Callithrix jacchus: one gene and its partners. Each later gene encodes a partner of the first gene's protein in a complex. Links are inferred from orthologs where the notes say so. Each region holds a gene or a part of one and is shown in the gene's direction. Other genes may lie near its edges.

What was found. The genes of interacting proteins can lie anywhere in the genome.
Region 2: EXOSC2 (region 1) and EXOSC7 share a complex: the UniProt entries of both Homo sapiens proteins name them as parts of the RNA exosome core complex. The link is inferred for Callithrix jacchus from reciprocal best matches to the Homo sapiens genes EXOSC2 and EXOSC7.
Region 3: EXOSC2 (region 1) and EXOSC4 share a complex: the UniProt entries of both Homo sapiens proteins name them as parts of the RNA exosome core complex. The link is inferred for Callithrix jacchus from reciprocal best matches to the Homo sapiens genes EXOSC2 and EXOSC4.
Region 4: EXOSC2 (region 1) and EXOSC9 share a complex: the UniProt entries of both Homo sapiens proteins name them as parts of the RNA exosome core complex. The link is inferred for Callithrix jacchus from reciprocal best matches to the Homo sapiens genes EXOSC2 and EXOSC9.

What each region holds. Positions count from the first base shown.
Region 1 is NC_133502.1:179,361,506-179,366,694, forward strand, and holds the end of EXOSC2 (exosome complex component RRP4), read left to right. Parts: intron 1-1,079; coding exon 1,080-1,148; intron 1,149-2,371; coding exon 2,372-2,548; intron 2,549-3,254; coding exon 3,255-3,383; intron 3,384-3,889; coding exon 3,890-3,970; 3' UTR 3,971-4,971; downstream 4,972-5,189. UniProt on the Homo sapiens protein: Non-catalytic component of the RNA exosome complex which has 3'->5' exoribonuclease activity and participates in a multitude of cellular RNA processing and degradation events.
Region 2 is NC_133516.1:27,719,285-27,724,973, forward strand, and holds the start of EXOSC7 (exosome complex component RRP42), read left to right. Parts: upstream 1-1,946; 5' UTR 1,947-1,980; coding exon 1,981-2,037; intron 2,038-5,689. UniProt on the Homo sapiens protein: Non-catalytic component of the RNA exosome complex which has 3'->5' exoribonuclease activity and participates in a multitude of cellular RNA processing and degradation events.
Region 3 is NC_133517.1:53,541,349-53,547,269, reverse strand, and holds EXOSC4 (exosome complex component RRP41), read left to right. Parts: upstream 1-2,178; 5' UTR 2,179-2,293; coding exon 2,294-2,464; intron 2,465-3,473; coding exon 3,474-3,680; intron 3,681-3,772; coding exon 3,773-4,099; coding exon of another isoform or gene 4,100-4,132; exon of another isoform or gene 4,133-4,175; intron 4,176-5,529; coding exon 5,530-5,667; 3' UTR 5,668-5,826; downstream 5,827-5,921. UniProt on the Homo sapiens protein: Non-catalytic component of the RNA exosome complex which has 3'->5' exoribonuclease activity and participates in a multitude of cellular RNA processing and degradation events.
Region 4 is NC_133504.1:75,882,778-75,888,749, reverse strand, and holds the start of EXOSC9 (exosome complex component RRP45), read left to right. Parts: upstream 1-2,229; 5' UTR 2,230-2,328; coding exon 2,329-2,394; intron 2,395-2,710; coding exon 2,711-2,805; intron 2,806-3,536; coding exon 3,537-3,656; intron 3,657-3,790; coding exon 3,791-3,893; intron 3,894-5,469; coding exon 5,470-5,607; intron 5,608-5,972. UniProt on the Homo sapiens protein: Non-catalytic component of the RNA exosome complex which has 3'->5' exoribonuclease activity and participates in a multitude of cellular RNA processing and degradation events.

The sequences.
Region 1 (5,189 bases):
AGGCCGGGTGTGGTGGCTTATGCCTGTAATCCCAGTGCTTTGGACGGCCAAGGAGGGAGGATTGCCTGAACCTAGGAGTTCAAGACCAGCCTGGGCAACATAGCAAGACCCCCATGTCTACACAAAAATAAATTAGCCGGACGTGGTGGCATGTGCCTGTAGTCCTAGCTATTCAGGAGGCTGGGTCCAGAGGGTTGCTTGAGCCCAGGAGCTCAGGGCTGCAGTGGGCTATAATCACACCACTGCATTCCAGCCTGGGTGACAGCAATACTGTCTCTTTTATTTTTATTTATTTATTTATTTATTTATTTTGAGACAGAGTCTAGCTCTGTTGCCCATCATGGCTCACTGCAACCTCCGCCTCCTGGGTTCAAGTAATTCTCCTGTCTCAGCCTTTCAAGTAGCTGGGATTACAGGTGTGTACAATGCTTAGCTAATTTTGGTATTTTTAGTAGAGATGGGGTTTCACCATGTTGGCCAGGCTGCTTTTGAACTCCTGACAGGTGATCTGTCTGCCTTGGCCTCCCAAAGTGCTGGGATTATAGGCATGAGCCACCACACCCGGCCTTTGTCTCTTGTTTTTTTTTTTGAGATGGAGTTTCACTCTTGTTACCCAGGCTGGAGTGTAATGGCGCAATCTCGGCTCACCGCAACCTCCGCCTCCTAGGTTCAGTCAATTCTCCTGCCTCAGCCTCCTGAGTAGCTGGGATTACAGGCACCTGCCACCAAGCCCAGCTAATTTTTTTGTATTTTTAGTAGAGACGAGGTTTCACCATGTTGACCAGGATGGTCTCCATCTCTTGACCTCGTGATCCACCCGCCTCGGCCTCCCATAGTACTGGGATTACAGGCTTGAGCCACCGTGCCCGGCCTGTCTCTGTTTCTTTTTAAAAAAGGTATTCATGAAAACTAAGGGGAGAGGTAACGTCACAGTGATATTCTCTGGGTCTGTCTAAGATTGTTGAGCTGGACCATTGCAGATGGGAGGAAAAGATGGAGGTGTGGGGCCAAGGAGCAGAGGCTGCTGGGGACAGGACAGTGTGGCCGGGGCTGCTGTGTTCCTTTATCACCCTGGCCAGGCTGAGGTCCAGGCAGTGTTCTCTGACGGAGCTGTCTCTCTGCACACGAGGAGCCTGAAATATGGAAAAGTAAGTCAGGCTTTTGATGTTCCTGTTTGCTGACCAAGACTCCAAGGCTATTTCTGAATCCCCATAGCTCTCTGGAATTCTGGCCTAAAGAGACCCAGTAGCTAAGCATTAATAGAGGCTGGCATCCCACAAACTGATCGTGTTCCTTGAACATAACAGCAGGGAGGTCAGGGTGCACAGGGTGATGGGTCAGTAGCCTTGTAAAGGACAAGTTTTTTTTTTTTTTGGACAAGTTTTATCCTTTTTCTCCAAGTAGACTGATTCTTCTAGCAGAAGAGCCCCTCCAGCTGTGGGCTGGGAGGCTCAGCTGTCTCTCTTCCTCCAGGGGGTGCTGCAGCTCAGCACTGGGGCTGGGGCTGAGGCCATCCTGGGAACAAACGGAGGCTGGGCCTGATGAAACAGGCCTTAGACAAACGTCCAGTCAGTACAGTGGATGTTATTGCTGGCAAAGCTTGCTCTGTCATCTGAGCCTCTAAATGGAATTTCACTGCTTTTCTTGTATGAGGTTGCATTATTGAAGCTATTTATTACTGTAAGGAGAGCATACTTCCTAAAACAAATGAGGATTTACTAGTCTCTTAGCTTTATCTGGGTGAATGTTTTTGTTTTCTGAGTGGAACAAAAACCTCTTCCCTTAATGGAGTGGCTGCAGCCGGTCACGTTCATGTACATGGAGTAGGTGGAGGACTGCTGCAGTATGCTGACTTTCACAGCCCTGGGTCCTACGGGCTCTCCCTGGCAGGACGTGGACTTGGAGCTGGCCTGCCAGGACCAGACATGGATTTGAACCCAGCTCCACCCATCTCCTCTCCTACCCAGAGGCGCACATCTCACAGGCATGATGAGTGTTTGGGGTACAGGTGTAAGCTAGAGTCATGGAACAATGCAGTGCCCCTGGGCCAGTAGGACGCTCAAGCTCACTTCCTCATTGGCTTCCACTTCTCTAATGTCTGGCACATGAGCTCTGGCTTAGAGTGCAAGGAAGGCTGCAAAGGGAAATGACAGAGAAGAGATTGAAAGGCACCTTCTGTTGGGATGTGTGAATAACCTGTGAGTCCTGAAGTGTTCTCTGCAAGAATGTGTACTCTCTCTGTGTGCGTAGGCGACAATTTCAGGCAGAAACGACACCATGTGGAATATACTTAGGGTGTGTATTCTGTAGTCTCCTTGTCATTCATCCCGCTGATCCTGCGGTGACCTAGCTTTGCAATGTGTTTCTTTAGCTAGGTCAGGGGGTTTTGGTCCAGGTTTCCCCCTCCCTGGTGAAACGGCAGAAGACCCACTTTCATGACTTGCCGTGTGGTGCCTCAGTGATTCTGGGCAACAATGGCTTCATCTGGATTTACCCAACACCTGAGCACAAAGAAGAGGAAGCAGGGGGCTTCGCGGCAAACCTAGAGGTGAGCAAACCTTGGCCGCCGTCGGTGGGAGGGGAGGCTTGGTCTTGGCTATGTTTTTGTGGCCGGCAGAGTTGCTTGTTTTTGACTATGTTATTGCTGTAGGCTGAGTCACTTTGACTTTCCATCAAGGTGTATTTCCATCAAGGTGAGTTCATCTAAAAGGATGAACTCAGTGAATGGTTTCAACTTTGTTGGCAGAGATGGTGAAGTTGCAAGGTAATAGCCAGAGAGCCTCTGAAGAAGTGAAGAAGCCTTTTTTTTTTTTTTTGAGACGGACTCTCGCTTTGTCCCCTAGGCTGGGGTGCAATGGCACAATCTCAGCTCACTGAAGCCTCTGCCTCCAGGTTCAAGTGATTCTCCTCCTTCAGCCTTCTGAGTAGCTGGGATTACAGGCATGCACCACCATGCTTGGCTAATTTTTGTATTTTTAGTAGAGATAGGGTTTCACCATGTTGGTCAGGCTGGTCCCAAACTCCTGACCTTGTGATCTGCCCACCTCGGCCTCTCGAAGTGCTGGGATTACAGGGGTGAGTCACTGCACACGGTCCCATTCTTTTTAATCTCCCTTGGACTTAACCGGTGGTTGGTGTGGAGTTCCAGAGTGATGTGGGAGTCATCAGTGATTTATTTGTGATTTTCTTTGGCTGGTCACTTGTTTAGGTCCTGTCTATATTTCCCTTTCCTCCTCTTCTGCATCCCCTTATAGCCTGTCTCTCTTGCTGATCGGGAGGTGATTTCCCGGCTTCGGAACTGCATTGTCTCGCTGGTAACTCAAAGGATGATGCTGTACGACACCAGCATCCTGTACTGCTATGAAGCATCCCTTCCACACCAGGTATTCTCCCCAGGGCTTTTTGCTTCTTCACTGATCAGCAAGCTGCTCTGTTGTTTACTCAGAGACAATCTGCACATCTCCCCCATACTTTCCCAATATCCATATCCCAATATCCGGTATGGACTGGCCTGGAAACAGCCTTAATGAGTGTCTGCTAGATCTTTCGCTGAGACACTTGCAATCTTCTCAATGTCTAGTGTCAATCTAAGGATTTGGTCGGGGATGGAGGTGTCAGGTGGGACTAGTTTATGAGAGCAGCCCTCATCCCACATTTCAGCCATCTCTTAGATGAATGTCAGAATATTTTTGTTCTTGTCGGCTGTATCTCAAAATCTTGCTGGTTTATTAGGCTGCTTCTAGCAGATCATATCTTGTAACGCTTAGTCTCTGAGACATGAAAGGGATACAGAAGGTTTATGTCAACGGCTTAATGTATGTTTGGATTGGCTTGGTGGTCTGTTGATGGGTGGATTCTTTTCTGAACAAATGCCTTTTCCTTTTTTCAGATCAAAGACATCTTAAAGCCAGAAATAATGGAGGAGATTGTGATGGAGACACGCCAGAGGCTTTTAGAGCAGGAGGGATAAGGAGGTGCTCCAGAAGGACAGGACTGTGGACCTTGCAGGAGTGAAGACGGTGATGTGTGGTCCCCATATGTGGCTCTGCGAAGACTTGAGAGGTCATCACTTTGTCTGCATTGACAGCCCTGTGGCTGCCTCCAGCTTGCAGGCCTGCTTTCTCCTGTCCTGACGCCAACCCTGGGTGGCAGGTGAACAATGCTCCCTTGGTTAGCTGGCTGAGTCCCAGCATTAGGGGCTAGTTTTAGGTCTTCCATAGTGCACAGTGTTCCAGCCGAATGGACTCCCATCCTGGATAATATGGGGAATCCTTTGTCTTCCACTCACGTCATTTGCAAGGCACAGTGCCCCATAAAATTGCCCCAGTAGAAACATGGCATCCCTGACCCCTAGATGGTCTGTTTTGGTTTCCATTCCTATATCCTTTAAATGACTGAGAATGCAGTTGGAAGAATAAAGTTAACCAAGCAGGCCAGCCGCAGTGGCTCACGCCTGTGATCCTGACACTTCGGGAAGCCGAGGCAGGTGGATCACGAGGTCAGGAGTTTTGAGACCAGCCTGGCCAAAATGGTGAAACTCCGTCTCTAATAAAAATACAATATTTAGCCAGGTGTGGTGGTGGGTAACTGTATTCCCAGCTACCCAGGAGGCTGAGGCAGGAGAATTGCTTGAACCCTGGAGGCGGAGGTTGCAGAGCCGAGATCGTGCAACTGTACAACCTGGGCAACAGAGCGAGACTCTGTCTCAAAAAAAAAAAAAAAAAAAAAAAAAAAAAAAAAAACAAAAACAAAACCAAGCAGCCTTTGCTTCATTGGAATCTGATTTTCTGTTGCATATTCCTTCTGGCCATAGATGCAATTATGTCTACACCAGGCTGCCTTCATCTGTCCTGCTTGGAGGTTTCCTTCTAAGATGCTGAATTATTCATGATAATAGAGTGAATTGTTCTGGGACCATGTACTCTGATAAACATGAAGAAAATAAAATAAGAAAAATGGAGACTGGAAAAAGGAAAGCTGTTTTCCTCCTGTAACTGAAGTAGTGGTGTATTAATTTATGGATAATTCAGGGTTAAAAGATAAAAAGACGTAAGTTCTACTGAAGAATGTGAGAATTCCTGTGCATTTTTTTTTTTTTCTGATGACTATCTAAAAATGGTGCCCTGATTAGGCTTAGGGGAACTTCTTTTTTTTTTTGAGTTGGAGTCTTGCTCTGTCACCCAGGCTGG
Region 2 (5,689 bases), on another chromosome or scaffold:
ATCTTGACATAAAGATGACCCCGTGGTTTCTGAACTCGAGCTTTTCTTCCTCTTTGCTGATCTGTCCATTTGCTGTCACCTTTTGAATCCTTAGTCCTCTCACATAATCCTAGTTTCTAAAACCCAGCTTCCAGGGTCTCTCCTTTCTGAGCAAATCTCTAGCACATCTAGAAAATACCATTTCTAACATCAGCAATCTCATGTTATCTTATCACACAGAGCTCCTCACACAGAACCCAGCTGTCCAACCACACACAAACACATCTGTGTGCCACAACAGGTGGGGCACCTGTGCCCTCATTAGGGTGGAAGCCCTTCCAGCTTCACCTCTCCCAGTTTCCCAGGAAGGCAAAGTCCAATCCTGCAAGATGTCTTCCTTTTAGGTGCCCCTGTAGAGAACTATGTAGAGACATAAGAAACATCTAATGTCCAGTCTACTAAGAACTGATCATCAATTTTGGAGTTCAGCAATTTAATCATTAAGAATGTAAGCAAGCACTTCCTCTCTGTAACTTCAGACGACCTCCCAATCCCACTGTGCCCACTGATGCCACCATCATAGCTCTAACCACCCTGATCTATGGTTATTTTGGCCCCGGAGCCTGAACCACTGCCAGGGAACTTCTCTGGGCATAGTGTGTTTTACTTGCCTTGTGTTCCAAAGGTAGCACAAAGCCTATCTATAGTAGGCTCCCAATAGTTACTGTATTTGAAGCCATTATCTGAGAAATACCAACCTTTTTTTTTTTGGCTGATCAAGCTAATTAGGGTTACTTTCACTTTTGAGAACAGGGAGGGTCCTCATAAATGGAACATCAGGAAAGTCATGAGACTTGCTTCAACTTGCCCTCGTTTCAACTAATTCGGGTTAACTTTCTCCCATTTACCAACACGGCTCCTTTAAAACTTGCACCATACTTTTTCCGCCGCGCCTAAATGAGTTCCTCTGGTGACCCCAAAAGGAACCTTGACCTTGCAGATACCCTCTCCGGGCATCCAATGCCTATACTCCCACTCGGCCATTGCATGGGGTTGGCTTTTTTACGGGCAACTGCTCCCAGCTCCCAGCTACCACTTCCATCAAGCCGGGGTTTTCAGTTCCCGCTAGGAAGCGTCAGGGACGTCCGGGCACTGCGCACCCAGCTAGCGCCGGTTACCAAGCGCCTCCTCCCCCTAGTCTTTGGGACTATGCTGATAAGCATCCGAAGCAAGAGGTCCCAGCAAGGTACTGGGTCAGCGTTCGGTCAGAGTGAGCGAGTCAGCGAGAGATATTCCTGGGTGGAGGGGTGGGGACGCCTTAGGTCTAGTGTTCCCCACTCCCAGCCCGGACCCTTCCTACCGAGAACTACCTACAGAGGGCTGCATCGCCTCTCCTCTTCAGCCTCCCTAGGGACTAAAGAAGTGGAGGGGAGAAGAGCGGGGCAACGCCACCCCCAGGCCAATCACGACGTCCGCCCTTCCTTAGTCGGGGTCTGTCTGTCTCTCTCTCTCTCTCTCTCTCTCTCTCACACACACACACACACACACACACGAGACACACACGAGCTCCTAGGTCAACTCCAGCTCTGAGCAACTGCGCCGCACACCTCTCCCACTGCAAGTCCCCCGGCCCGTGTGGCTCTCCTCACCCCAGCTTCTTCACCCCAACCCCAGTTTCCCCTCCCAACTGACCGTGAAGCCGGAGGCAGTTCCCCAGTCCCAGGCCCCCGGGGGCGCTCCCGCCGCTGCCTTCCCCTGCAGTCCCCAACCCGGGACCGGGCCTCCGGCTGCGGCGATGACTCCTTGAAACGAGGCGCCGCGGTTCCCTGGACTCGGCCAGACACCGGGCGGCGCGCAGGAGAAGCCCATCGAGCTCCCGGCAGTGGCGGCGGCCGCCGCGCAGGTTGATGACGCGCGGACGCGGCGGGTGGGGCGTGGGGGAGTGGTCCAGCGAAGACGACGCGTGCAGATGACGTTTGGCTCGCGGGGCAGCTCGGCAGCATGGCGTCAGTGGCGCTGAGTGAGGCGGAGAAGGTGTACATCATGCACGGCGTACAGGTAGCTACAGCAGCGGCGTTGGGTCGGCCGCCGGGTTCAGCCTAGCCCTGCGGGTCGCGGCCTACCCTGGGTTCGCCAAGCAAGAGGCAGCCGAGCTGCAGCGACTCTCCGTTTACCTGTGATTAAACGGCTGTGCGGGCGGCGTTTGCTTTGCAGAGCTGACAACGCGGACGTTTTTAAGACTGTTAGCGCATTTGCAGTTTTGCGGGTCTGTAACATTCCGAACCCGGGCAGGAAGCGTTAGTCCCGGAGGTATTTTCTTAGAGAGAGAGCATCGCCCATGGCCATCCTTTCGGCTTTCGCGCACTTAACTGGTCCGAGCCTCAGTTTTCTTTTCTAGGAAATGGGAGTTTGGAGGTAGGCTTCTGGCCTGCCTTTCCTCACCTCGTGGTTGGGAAGCGCATGCGAGGTGAACGCACGGCAAAATGCAAATTGCCGTACAAATAAAGGGAGAAGGGTTTTTGTATGGCAGTTTGTAATTTCAAAGTGGGTTCAGCTCGCATGCGCCTCCCAACTACGAGGTGAGGAAAAGCAGGCCAGAAGCATTGGCTCAGGTCTGTAATACCGGCACTTTGGGAGGCCGAGGCGGGCGGATCACCACGTCAGCAGTTCAAGACCAGCCTGGCCGCATAGTGAAACCCCCGTCTCTACTAAAAAATACAAAACTTAGCCAGGCGTGGTGGCAGACCCCTGTAGTCCCCGCTACTCGGGAGGCTGAAGCAGAGATTGCAATGAGCCAAGCTCGTGCCACTGCACTCCAGCCTGGGCAACACAGCGAGACTCTTGTCTCAGAAAAGAAAGAAAGAAAAGAAAATACAAATTGCCTTGCCAATAAAGGGGAAGGGTTTTTAGACAGCGGCTAGGCAGCTGGTATCATAAGTGCTGTTTCCATTTTGCCAGTGGAGAACTAATTCCCTAGGCAGCTAAAACCTAACGTCCTCTGTGCTCTATATTAAACCCCTGGTTTTGACCACTCCAGAACGAGGATTGAAAAATGTTGAACGTGGTAACGAGCTACCCCGTATCTTCCTCTGACTCTGTCTCCACTTGTTAACCCACGGTGTCGTCCTCCTATCAGAGTTCTTCAGCCCACCCTTGGCAGAGTTCTGGTCACAGCCCCTCCTCATGGTTTTCCTCTCTCAGTAAAGTTAGTGGTCCTGGGATGTAGCCATTAAATTGAAGCGGCCAGCTGTCATTAAAGTTCCACAACGTGAGTTAAGGCCATGTCCATTTAAAAATTGTCACCTGCTGTTATCTTCTGGGCCCTCTATAGATGAAGAAATGCCAATATTTGGCCAACAGGTTGTATATTAAGCCTGGTTAATAAAGTCAGAACTCATAGTTGCATATTTTAGTTATAATTCAGGATTAGGAGTAGTGGGATATATGTGTGTATTCTGGGGAACTTGTATGTTATTTGTGTGTGAGGGGGCATAAAAATGCCCAAAAGCCATTAGATGTGTCTTTCCCTGATATATATATATATATATATATATATATATATATATTTTTTTTTTTTTTTTTTTTTTTGAGATGGAGTTTCGCTTTTGTTACCCAGGCTGGAGTGCAATGGCGGGATCTCGGCTCACCGCAAGCTCCGCCTCCTGGGTTCAGGCAATTCTCCTGCCTCAGCCTCCTGAGTAGCTGGGATTACAGGCACGCACCACCATGCCCAGCTAATTTTTTGTATTTTTAGGAGAAACGGGGTTTCACCAAGTTGACCAGGATGGTCTCGATCTCTTGACCTCGTGATCCACCCGCCTTGGCCTCCCAAAGTGCTGGGATTACAGGCGTGAGTCACCGCATCTGGCCCTCTCTGCTATATTTTTATATACACTTTGTTCAGTTGATTTTTATCCTCAAAGTATGCTTTTTAGGGACACATTAAGGGTAACCATTTTTCTCTAAATTTAAAAACCTTTGGTTTTCTTTCTTTGTTACTGCAGCTTACCATGATATACTGACTCTGTCATGTGTCCTGTTTTCTCTCACATTTCATCTCTGAAAGTGGCACTGAGGCATGGATATATCTGTAACCTCAAGGTTAGAGATGCCTTCCCAGCACCCTTAATTCCCATGGCAGTTCATTATCCAGAAGCAGAGTTCCACCATAGTCATAAATCCTGCCTTATTCCTTTATATTGAGTCAGAAAATCATTTATATTTATAACACACCTGTTATCTGCTGGGTGCTGTCAAGGAAGAAAAGGGTGTAAGCCTCATTTCTGGCCCTTGAGATGCTTAGGATCTAATTTGGGCAAAGTTAGTTAATTTTATTTACATCATCTATCTAGTCTCTGGCATGTTATGTGGGAAACAGTAGGGATGCTAAAACATGGTTGTGAAATCAATGAAAGATAGGAGGGAGACAAAGAGAGTAAAAGTGAATAAAATAAAGACTAAGGTAAAATAAGATCTCTGCCAAGGAAGTGGTATAGTTAGTGGAGGTTGAAGAAGTTAAAGTATACCAGGGGCTGGGCATGGTGGCTCATGCCTGTAATCCCAGCACTTTGGGAGGCTGAGATGGGAGGGAGGATTGCTTGAGCCTAGGAGTTTGAGACCAGTCTGGGCAACACAGTAAGACCCCATCTCTAAAGAAATAAAATTTATTTTTAAAAAATAAATAAAAAAGAATTCCAGGGACTTATAATGCTCTGAAGGCTTCCCTAAGGAGGTGGAATTGCTCCCCTAAATCCGTATCAAGGATTTTCCCTCTGTATCTTCAGGACTCAGTATGCATTTATTCAACACAGAATGGAGCTGGGCTGAGGGACTAGGAAGGAACATGCAGAAATTATTAATGTACTTGAGTGTTTATGTATAAAATTGTACTGAGTGCTATGAAGGAAAACACAGGGATACGATCTAGACTGGGAGGTCAGAGGAGGCTTCCCGAAGGAAATAGCATTTTAACTGAGCTCTCAGCATGACCGATAATTAAGTAGGGATGAGTGTTCCAGAAGGAAGGGATGGTGAGTCTGTAAGTCCTCAGGTGGGGGATGTGTGGAGCCTAAGGGGTGGGTTGGGGGAAATGGTGGAAGATCAGCTTGCAGAGGTGGCCAAAGCATGATTCAGTTGCTAGTAATGGTAACCAACACACTGGCTCAAGCAAAATAGTGTGGATTACAAGACTGCGAGTGTTTCTCCAGGAATCCACAGGCACTTGGATGAGCAAGGCTCTCTCTTGCTCATCTCTGCTTTTTTTCCCCCCACTTTGCTTTGTTTTGGTCTCGCCGCAGATTGGTTTTCTGCTTCTTGGGCCAGTGGTAGAAAAAATGTGGTTCCTTACCAGCTCTTCTGTAAAAGAGACCATTCCTTCTAGTTCAGTTCTGAACTCATGTTTCCAAGAGAAAGAAACTCTGGTTCTTTTTGGAGGTGGTGGGAAAGGATGGACAGAATAATTAGGCTAAAACATGGCCATTAGAGGTTGTGTCACATTTGGGAGAAATTAGTTTATGAGAAGGTAGGGTGGATCATTTTAGTTTTGGGCAGAAAATGAGTCCACTTCAGATAGTTCAGGAGACTTTTATGATGGGACTGTAGAGTAGTATGGGTAGGTTTCAGGGAAGCAGTAAGAGATGTTGAGGAGCCTGAAGACAAACAACTACTGGGAGTGGCTACTGCCCTTAGTCCAGCGGGGTCCCGGGAGGAA
Region 3 (5,921 bases), on another chromosome or scaffold:
CAGGAGAGCAGAACCACCTCGAGGGGATGCTGTGACTACTGAAATTGGGCACCTGTAGCAGACTGCATTGCCCTAGCTCACCTGCTCTTCTTAGTGTCATGCTGACACTCATACCACTGAAGGGTGGGGTCCAGGTCCCTGCAGGGTCCAGTCCTACAGGGTTCTGTGAGTCCCTCTTGGCTGGTGTGGAGACAAGAAATTGTAGAAATAAAAGACACAAGACACAGAGATAGAGAAAAGAGAGTTTGGGCCCAGGGGTCCACTGCTACCCAGGTCGTGGAGACCAGCAGTGGCCCCGAATGCCAGACGGGACACTCTCACTTTTATTGAGTTGCAAATCTGGGGGCAAGGTAGGTAGGATGTGGCGGCCTTGGTGGTCAGAGACTGGGGGCAGGGTGGATAGTACGTGGCAGTGATAGGGTCAAGTACATCATGTGTCATTCAGGTAGAGGCTCAGGAATTTCTGGCCCCCAAAGTGAGGCAAGAAGCATAATTCATCAGCGTCTTTTCCATACTTACCAAGAAAGAACTAAAACATTAAGATTTATATGACTGTTACTGATTATCTTTCCTAAGAAAAAAAGAAGCCAGGTGCAGAAGCAGAACATGAGAGTGGACCTGGTATGTGACCGCTGAAGCACAGCATCACACAGAGAGAGTTAAGCCCCTGATGTCTGTGGGCCTCCTGGCAACTGTCAGGCGTTACCACAAGAGCTTGGAGAAGTGGAGTTTTCTCCTAACTTCCCCAGGAAGGAGACATCTCAGCCATCTTGGACATCTCCTTCCCTAGCTGGCTAAACAGTGGGCGCTTTCACAGCACTGGAGCTGCCGCACGGCCGAGGTGCCCTCCAGCAGCCCTTCCTAGGCGTGACAGAGGGCTTAGAGCATCTTGCCTTAGTGTCATTCATTTCACAATGTCACCCCAGGTTCACACTTCCGACCTGATAGGCATTAGTAAAAGAATTAAGATCACCTATAAATAACTAAGATCACCTATGAATAACTAATAACTACTATGGTTATATTTCTAGTTACTTTCTTCTTCATTATTTATATGGAAATAGGCTGAGGTATTTCGCTCCTGCCTTGGCGGTCATAGATCCCCATCCCTTAAGCCTGGGCAGACTTGTCTGACTGACTTGACCCCAGAGTCTGGCAAGAGTGGCACTATATGACTTCTGAGCTAGGTCATAAAAATACCACACACGTCGCCCACCTTGTTGTCTTGGAAGGCTACCCTTGGAACCCAACTGCCATACTGCAAGGAAGCCTCGGTTGCATGTAGAAGCCACATGTAGGTGTGCTGCCTAACAGCCACACGTGAGGTCCTGGCCCGCCACCAGCATCAGTCACCGAAGATATGAGGGAGAAAACTTTGAGGATGGCTCCAGCCCCAGCCACCATCTAGCAGGAACTGCAGGAGAGATCCTAAATGCAAACTACCTAGCTGAGCCTAGGTAACACCAGACTGCAGAACATCATAAAATAATCATGTTATTCGAAGCCACTGAGGTTAGGTGGCAAGAGATAAACAGACATACAACGCCTCTTTGGAAAGGATGAGGAATCAGCATCCTCAAAGGGAAACGGGAGGCCCACTTGACTGCAGTGTGGGAGCTCGGTGTAACGGAGGGCAAGGGAGGAATGGAGGTGCCAGGTGTGGACCATGCTGGGACACCAGCCCGGTCACCTTCCTAGGACCCCTCAATGCCTTCTCTTCTCCTGTCAGTCAATGCTGCAACCACTAAGTTCATCCTTCCACTTTCACACTTACAGTGCGGGGAAGGCTGAATAATGCAGGCACCATTGGTCCCGAGGGCGTGGCTTCGGAATTCCTCCTTCAGCGGGCGCCCACTTCTTGGCACCCGTGGCACAGCTCCGGGAACGGCCGCGGGCCTAGCCCCCGCTTCCCCGACAGAGCCGCTGCAGCTCCCCGGAGACAGAAGCAGAGCCGGACCGCCGAAAACCGTAGATCCTGGGAGGTCGGGGCCGCGGGTAGCTGTAGTTTCCCGGGACCGGAAGTGGCAACGGACCGCCGGAAATCTTAGATCCGGGGACCTCGGGGCGGCGGTTAGCTGTAGTTTCCCGGGACCAGAAGTGGCAACGGACCGCCGAAAACCATAGATCCGGGGAAGTCGGGGCCGCGGGGAGTTGCAGTTCCGCGGACCCGGAAGTGACAGAGGACCACCGGAAACCGTAGATCCGGGGAAGTCGTAGCCGCCTGGAGCTCTAGTTCTCCAGTTCTCCAGCGGCTCAGAGAACTAAGCCGAGAGGGAGTTGGCGGCCGGGCGGAATGGCGGGGCTGGAGCTCTTATCGGACCAGGGCTACCGGGTGGACGGGCGGCGCGCCGGGGAGCTGCGCAAAATCCAGGCGCGGATGGGCGTGTTCGCGCAGGCTGACGGCTCGGCCTACATCGAGCAGGGCAACACCAAGGCGCTGGCGGTGGTCTACGGCCCGCACGAGGCGAGTGGGAGGGGAAATCGTGCGGTCGCGGAGCCGCAGGGCAGCCGGGCTGAGCACAGGCTCAGGGACTTGAGGGGCAACGGCCGGCGCGCCTCCGACCACACAGCCGATGCTCAGCACCGCATGTCACTCGGAGTAAACGCAAGTCCTTAGTGCACTGAGCGGTGGTCCTGCCTTTCTCATCGGCTTGTCCCTGCGCCCTCCCTTCTCTTTGCGGCTCTTCAGCTCCCCCACTCGCCCCGTCACCTCTCAGCTCTACTCCGACGTCACTCCTCCCCAGACAACCTTATCCACGCGGTACTTCCCCTCCCTACAATAAACCCTTCCTTGTCTTTTGTGCACCTACGATCTCAAACGCCTGTTTTGCTTAAGCACGTTCACCTTTGTTTCCTTGCTGGAACATAAGCTTCCTAAAGACAGGAACTTTACATGAAACTCTATGGTTTCACTGCGGTTCCCAGCGCTGTAACAGTGCCTGGCCAGCAAAGGTATTGAAAATGTGCTTAGCGCATGGCTGTGGGAGCTCTGCTTTCTAGGCGCAGGGAAGCACGAGGGCGAAGACCACGGGGGTGAAAACAAGCATAGCACTTAGGCAGAGCAGAAAGACTGCTGGTGGGGAAAGGGGGTAACTCCAAATTAAAGTAGAGTGTTTCCGGGGAGGTGAGGACTTGGGATTTTGTAGACCAGGGAAAGGATTTGGGATTTTATTTCACATGTAATGTAACGCCTTCGTAAGTTAATTAGGATTTGAGTGTGTACGTGAGATAGAATCAGCCTTGATGTTTGTAAACTTGGGCTGGAAGGGAATGGGACAAGGATGGACACAAAGCAGCCAACTAAAAGATGCATGCCAGGAGGAAAAACGAGCAAAACAGGGGGCTTTGTTTTGGAGGTAAAGTAGTTGCCTCTTGCTGAGGCCTTGAAAGTGAAAGGAGAGGCAGACCCCCAGAGTACAGTGGAGTGTGAGCTGGAAGAAGTGGGCCTGGCTCATGTGTCCATCTTCTTCCAGATCCGGGGCTCGCGGGCTCGAGCCCTGCCAGACAGGGCCCTAGTGAACTGTCAATATAGTTCAGCGACCTTCAGCACCGGTGAGCGCAAGCGACGGCCACATGGGGACCGTAAGTCCTGTGAGATGGGCCTACAACTCCGCCAGACTTTCGAAGCAGCCATCCTCACACAGCTGCACCCACGCTCCCAGATTGATATCTATGTGCAGGTGAGCCGGCTGCAGCCTGCAATCCAGGGAGGGAAGAGTGTGATGGGATTGAGGAGGGAGTCTGATGAACTGACACCCTGGGGTCCTCGCAGGTGCTACAGGCAGATGGTGGGACTTACGCAGCGTGTGTGAATGCAGCCACGCTGGCAGTGCTGGATGCTGGCATACCCATGAGAGACTTTGTGTGTGCGTGCTCAGCTGGCTTCGTGGACGGCACAGCCCTGGCAGACCTCAGCCATGTGGAGGAAGCAGCTGGTGGCCCCCAGCTGGCCCTGGCCCTGCTGCCAGCTTCAGGCCAGATTGCGCTGCTTGAGATGGATGCCCGGCTGCATGAGGACCACCTGGAGCAGGTGTTGGAGGCTGCTGCCCAGGCTGCTCAAGATGTGCACATCCTCTTGGACCGAGTTGTCCGGCAGCATGTGCGTGAGGCCTCTATCTTGCTGGGGGATTGACCACCCTGCCACCCATGTCCAGAATAAAACCCTCCTCCGCCCACACACTCCTCACTGTACTTTGATCACCCAACAGCACTTTGGAGCTATGTGAAGCCCTGCAGAGCCTGGCCTGGTACTGGCTACTGGGAATGACCAGGGACCCTCTTATATAGAGAACTGTCTATCTCTGTATATCCTGATTGAAACCCTGAAGAGAACAGTGGATTAGGGGGTTGAGGAGAGATAGTTCCTGGGTGGAAAAAGCAGCATGTCCCAGTAAGGACTCAAGGCAGCTGAGTAAGAGGCAGGGCCTGGCAAGATGAGCCAGGCCATTAGACTGAGGAATCTATTCTTACTCCAGCACATCGGGAGCCCTGAGCAAAGGGCTGAGGAAAAACTCAGCTGGCTCTGGGTACCCACCCTAGAGATGTGGGTAGCCATGTCCCACAGCCTGTGGACTATGGCTTGGAACCCCTTGGGCTTTTCCTGCTGCTTACCCTGGACTCTAAAAGTACAAAAGCCAGGCATAGTGGCTTACACCTGTAATCCCAGAATTTTGGGAAGCTGAGGCAGATGGATTGCTTCAGGTCAGGAATTTGAGACTAGCCTGGCCAACATGGCAAAATCCCATCTCTACTGCAAATACAAAAATTAGCTGAGGTGGTAACACACACCTGTATAATCCCAGCTACTTGGGAGGCAGAGGCAGGAAAATCTCTTGAACCTGGGAAGTGGAGGTTGCAGTGAGCCGAGATCGTGCCACTGCACTCCAGCCTGGGCAATAGGGCAAGACTCCATCTAAAAAAATAAAAGTACAAAAAACGTGTTCTCATGGATCAGTAGAGGTCAGGAGTTCGAGACCAGCCTAGCCAACATGGTGAAACCCCATCTCTACCAAAGATATAAAAATTAGTGTGATAGTGGGCACCTGTAGCCCCAGGTACTTGGGAGCCTGAGGCAAGAGAATTGCTTGAACTGGGAGGCCAAACCCCACACCAGAGGTTGCACCACTGGACTCCAGCCTGGGTGACAGAGCAAGACTTTGTCTTACACACACACAAAAAAACCTGTTCTCATATGGAGTCTTCAGCTTTGACTCTTTCTGCCCACCACATTTTTGTTTGTTGAGACATGGTCTTGGTCTGTCACTCAGGCTGGAGTGCAGTGGTGTGATCACGGCTCACTACAGCCTCGACCTCCCAGGCTCAAGCAATCCTCCCCCTTTAGCCTCCTGAGTAACTGAGCTGAGACTAGAGGCATGCCCCACTCCACCTGGCTAGTTTTAAAAGCTTTTTTGTAGAGACTAGGTCTCACTTTGTTGTCCAGGCTGGTCTCAAGGGATCCTCCCACCTCAGCTTCCCAAACTGCACCCTCTTCTTGAGCAAACTCCGCCTTCATCCACCTCTGACCCACAGATCTGGCCAAGCCCTGACTACCCGCTCCTGCAGTCTGGACCCTGGGGCTGCTTCTCCCCTAATATTCCAAGGGTCTCCTGGCACAGACAGGGATGGTATGCTCCCCACTTTATGCTGCGCACACCCCAGCTCCAGTAGTGCCATCAGCATCTTTGCAGTCATCTGACTCGAAACCTTGGTGCTGGGCTCACGCTGTGACTCCACTGGGACGTCCTGAGTCACTAACATGCTTGGCATCCGGCCTTCCACCCCCTGCCCGGCTCATCGCCTCTGACTCCTGCGGGCCTTCCAGCCGTCCCCTGACCAGCTCGGGCATCTCTGCTCTTCACGGCCGTAGGGCCACCCGCCTGCCTCCGGGTCGGTGCACTCCCGGTCCGACTCTCCTGGAGGCA
Region 4 (5,972 bases), on another chromosome or scaffold:
GGGTGACAGAGTGAGACTCCATCAAAAAAAAAAAAAAAGAACAGAATGTATTACATTATCTGAACCTCTTCTTAAACTTCCAAACCTATTTTTCATGAAACAAATTTTCCTTTGGCATTCAAAACTTTCTTATAAACACAAGGCTGTAAAGTAGATATGTTTTACGATGTTATGCATATTAAGTAGAGGTGGGTCATACATCTTTGGATTAACTCGAAAATAAAATGGCAAAAACAGGAGTGTTAAAATTACAATATAAAAGTGAAAGTAGAAAAAGAACAGTGGAAATTCAACAAAAGTGGAAGGAAAGCAAAGTAATCAAGCAGCAGTCTCAGAAAAGCAATCTGTCATGCTGAGTTTGGGCAGTTTCATGGGAACCTTCGCCAAACCAACAAGGAAAGAGGAAACTAACATCTGAATAGCTACAATGTCCAAAATGTTTAATTAGATGCTTTCATTCAGACCACTTAACACAGCATAATTATTATCTCCAACCTGAAGATACAGAACCCCAAAATCAGAAAGATTATTTAGCTTACTCCAAGTCCATTTGAGCTGAAGTTTATCTGAAGTCAAAGTCCATTCTCTTTCCACTACCAAGCTGCCTTGCAGGAAATAACAGACTATTTCAATAAAGTTCTATTTCATCACTGAAGGGAAAATTTATCAAACTGCCACTGAAAGAACCCAAGGATTTAAATGAAGAATTTATCAATCAGGAGTTTTGGTGTGGAACTGCACTAAAAAAATTGTTAAAGAATTTAAGTGGTTTGTACACTGTAATCTTGACGATTCTGAAAATTAATCATTTCTGTCTACTTTCCTCCTTCTTCACAATTTCTATCTCCAGACCATGTGGAGCCCGCATCCCATCTCATTTTTGCATGTGTTACTCTTTCTGCTTGAAACACTTTTCCTCTCCTCCAGATGGCATCAAAGTTGCTCCTGCTTAACATCAAAGATTTATTTTACTTAAATGTCACCTCTACAAAGTCACCTGTTCCTGCAACTACCCCTATTAAGATAGCATTCCTATTCTCAGATAGACTTACCACTGTATGAAATTGTTCTATTTGGTTTAGGGTTTTTTTGTCTCTTCCAAAAAGAATATAAATTCCTTGACAGAAGGGATCTTGTCTACCTCATTTCTCCAGCACTCAAATTATTCCTGGACACAGTAGGCCCTCTTCAAGTATTTATTGAGTACATGGTAGTACAAAGTGAGACTAAGATGTATCACTGCTAAAAAAAAAAAAAAAAAAAAAAAAAATGTGAGAAGCTACAAAGAAGCCTAAGAGCCTGCATAGGAGTTACAGTGCCTACCACCCTCTAAAGCAAAAGGAAACAAAATAATAATATGCAAACACTTAAATAGTGCTTACTCCATGCCAGGCACTGTTCTAAGCGTTATATGTATATATAAAAACTCATTTTTATCCCTCATAATACACAGGTTTCTCATTCGCATTCCCCCACTTTTTTTTTTTTTTTTTGCAGGTGAGTAATGTGAAGCACATAGGTCAACTTGCCCAGGGTTATAGTAGTTAACAATAGACTTACAATTTGAACCCTGGCAAGGAACACTTATTAAAACTATTATTTGATACTGCCTCTCCAAAAAAGCTGAGTGGTTGGCAGCATGGCCCCGCTGTTTCTCTGTGACCGTAAAAATAAGTCTATCAACTTCAAATAGCTGGGGAGCGGATAATAAACGTATACTTAGTTTCGTCCACAGTAGCAGTAACGCCATTAGTTATTACGTGCAAACGTTCTCTATTCTCGTCAGCTTTTCAGATCCCACAAGATTTCACCTTTGGCAGCAATAACATCCCGTTTCACCATGTCAACTTTCTCCACCATCCCGTATACCCCCTCATTCCAGTGCTCGTTCATTGAATCTGCTCCGAACCCTGCATCTGCGGCTTTCTAGGGGCCAATGTTAATTCATCTGTAAAATAGCAATAGTATCTGTCTAGTCTCCACCCCGAGAAAGGACTGAGCGAAAGGTGGAGTGTGAGAGCGGTCTACTGATATTAATTTCTATCACTCTGATGGTTATTGTAAGTTTCCTTTTCTCCTCCGCACTTTATGAGCAAAGAAACGAAACTTCACGTTCAAAAACAGCCACCATAAGGGGCATTGGCTTGCCCTATTCACTGTTAAGAGTCTGCGCAGTAGCGAAGGCCAGAGCCCTTGCTTTCTCATTTTCCGCCGCCGCGCTTCGATGACGTAAATTTTCTGCGCCGCGGGACCGGCAGCGGCGCTTCAGGAGTCACGTTCCGTTTCCCCCGCGGATTTTAGTGCCAGTGGGACCCGGGACCCAACACCATGAAGGAAACGCCACTTTCAAACTGCGAGCGCCGCTTCCTACTCCGTGCCATCGAAGAGAAGAAGGTATGGTTTGGTCCCTGCAGAATTGGCGCGCTGCTTGGGCGCCAAGGTGTGAACTCATAACCCGGTCCGCCTGGGCCGGGGGAGCAACTAGGGGAGCGACCGGCGGGTGCACCCCAACCCTCAGGCTTTATTATTGTTTTTTCGACAGGTTCTTTTCAAGGCTCCCAGCAGTTGTCTGTGCTGTAGTTTCCGCTTTTCTATATGGGCGGGATGGTTAGGATTTCACTTTCCTCCAAGTGCTTAGCCCAGAGCCAGAAAAAGTAATTGCTTAAGAAATACTTGTTGAAGGAATAAATGAATGAATTTGTGCTTACAGCGGCTGGATGGCAGACAAACCTATGATTATCGGAACATCAGGATCTCATTTGGAACCGATTACGGATGTTGCATTGTGGAACTTGGAAAAACAAGGTAACAGAATTTAAATAATATATACATTCAAAAGGGAGAAGTTTTTAAAAAGACATATGTTTATAAACCAGCTAAGAAGTCTGGACGGTATCCTTTGTTGAGCTGACAAAAGTAAGTATTTTTTTATGCAAGATTTTTTGGTTTTGTGGTCACTATTGAAATTTGTAATCATAAACCTATTTTCTGTCACGTATCACATAGTTCTTTCTGACTTCTATACATCGTATAGACAACCAGTAGTGACCACACTGAATTTGTTTCTCATACTAGTATAGAGATCTTGAGCATCTTGTCATTAAGTATACATCCTGCTTTCCTCTTTTTCCTGAGTGACATGAAAATTAGGTTTTCTGATATTCATTTTAAAGTTGTGAGACTATTTGGTTAGATAATAGTGGTGAACGATGCCATGTGAAAACCCTTAAGAAATCTCAAGTTTTCATGCCATCTTGTATCAATAAATACTTGCTTTAGAGGTAAAGGTCATTGATTTTTAAAACAATCTGTGGAATAGTAAACATTGTAATAAGATTTTTTTTCTGTTGTGTTTTTAGGTGTATCAATTTATGTTTTATTTCTGTGTATATTATACTTTATATATAATTATATCTCCTATGATATATTTGGCTGAGTGTGATATTACTCAGTAAGGTTGAAACCTGCTGTTTCAGATTTTTTTTTTTTGGAAGGAAGATCTATTTAGTTAATACTTTGTTCCTTTATCTTTTCAGAGTTCTTGGACAGGTTTCCTGTGAACTTGTGGCTCCAAAACTCAATAGGGCAACAGAAGGTATTCTTTTTTTTAACCTTGAACTCTCTCAGATGGCCGCTCCAGCTTTTGAACCTGGCAGGTATTTAAATCTTTTTCTTAAGCTACTTTAGTCATAGGAGGACCTCACAGTAGTGACCTTTTTTTTTTTTTTTTTTTTTGAATACCTGGTGTTGTATTTCATGACATTAGCCCCGTCCTATTTTCCTATTATAGGCAGTCAGATCTCTTGGTGAAGTTGAATCGACTCTTGGAAAGATGTCTAAGAAATTCGAAGTGTATAGACACTGAATCTCTCTGTGTTGTTGCTGGCGAAAAGGTGGGGAATATGCCCAAATTTCTTTTTTTTTTTTAACCCCAAATCACATGGAATGGAGAATATGCCCAAAATTCTTAATCTTAGGATAAATATTGTTGATTCACGGATCCCAGTGTCTGTTTTTATTCTCAGAACTTTCGTTAACTCAGTTTTGTACTGGTTCACTTCACTTCAGATGTGATACCCTTAGAACTTTGTGCCATCTCTCTCTCTCTGAAGGGACAAAAAGCTTTATCTTTAAAGGGTAAAAATAGTAACTTAGATTTGTGTGTAAAATATTTTATTTAAAGAACTTGTGGCTTTTTCATATAATCTCTCATGTATTTTCTTATGTTACCTACATGAGTTCATAGAAGCAGGTAGTTTTCTTTTTTCATGCAGAACTCAAGAACAGATGAAATCACTCATTTTGATAGGTTTATCGATTTACACAGGGCCACATCATGTCAGTAGCAGGGATAACTTTGGAAATCTTAGTCCCAGTAAATTGTGCTGCATTCGGATATTAGAATTGTATTATTATTATTATTATTTTGAGACAGAGTCTCCCTCTGTTGCCCAGGCTGGACTGCAGTGGTGCAATCTCAGCTCACTGCAACCTCTGCCTCCCCTGTTCAAGCCTTCCGAGCAGCTGGAACTACAGGCACCTGCCACCACGTTCAGCTAATTTTTGTATTTTTAATGGAGACAGGGTTTCACCATGTTGGTCAGGCTGGTCTTGAACTCCAGACCTCAAGTGATCCACCTGCCTCAGCCTCCCAAAATGCTGAGATTACAGGGATGAGCCACTGTACCTGGCCAGAATTTGATTCTTGATTAAGGTATTTTGACAAGCTTTTTACTCCACAGAAATCATTTAGCTTTCCATATTCCATACCTAAGTATAATACTTCCTATTTGCATTACTTGTACCCTTATTAAAAATATCACAAAACCTAAAAGTTTAACTTTTAAAAATTTTTTATTTATTATTTTCTCTTAGGGATAGGGTGACACTCTTTTCCAGGCAGGAGTGCAGTGGTGTCATCATATCTCAATGTAACCTTAAACTCCTGGGCTCAAGGGATCCTCTTGCCTTAGCCTCCCAAATAGCTAGGACTACAGTGCATGCCATTTCACCTGGCTAATTAAAAAACATTTTTTTCTTTTTGTGGAAATAAGGTCTTGCTGTGTCGCCCAGGCAGGTCTCAAACTCCTAGGCTCAAGCAGTTCTCCCACCTTGGCCTCCTAAAGTGCTGGGATTATAGGTGTAAGCCACTGTGCCTGGCCTAGGGTTTGTGGTTTTTAAATTAACACACATGATAAAAGTATCATTAGATTTGAGGTTAGGAAAATCTTAGTATTAAGTGTTAGAGTGGTTCTGTTTATTTAAAGTATGTGTTTTACTGTTGTTAAATGACTCACACAGTATTTCAGATGTTTGACTTAAAATTTCTAAAATGTATTTTTTTGTTGACGAACTAGAAGGAGTAACTGCCTGTTTTAAAGCAAGAAAAAATTTGTACACGACGTTACTTTTCCTGATAAATAGCCACTCATTGTAATCAGGATTTATTTTTTTAAAATTCACTTTCAGGTTTGGCAAATACGTGTAGACCTACATTTATTAAATCATGATGGAAATATTATTGATGCTGCCAGCGTTGCTGCAATCGTGGCCTTATGTCACTTCCGAAGACCTGATGTCTCTGTCCAAGGAGATGAAGTAACACTGGTAAGCTCTTATGTGATCAGGATCCTTGATATGAATGAATGAGGATTGTCCTAAATGTGTAGGCAACTTGCTTTTAGTGAAGTTATGTTGCAAATGGCAACTTGGTTGGTTCTAAAATTTGTTCATAAGACTAAAACTGCACATCGTGAAAATTGCCCTTGAAATCTCTTACATTCCCTCTATTGAAACATCTGTCAGTAAGAACATACCCTAGCCTGGTTTTCCAGAATAGAATTGATGACTCTTGTGGATTGAGCATTATTAGATGAACTGGTTGACTTATATTTAGGGGCCGTATGTGTGAAAAATACATGACTCTCAGCACAGTGAGTTGCTTACCCTCCAAGAGGCATGCAGTAGCTGAA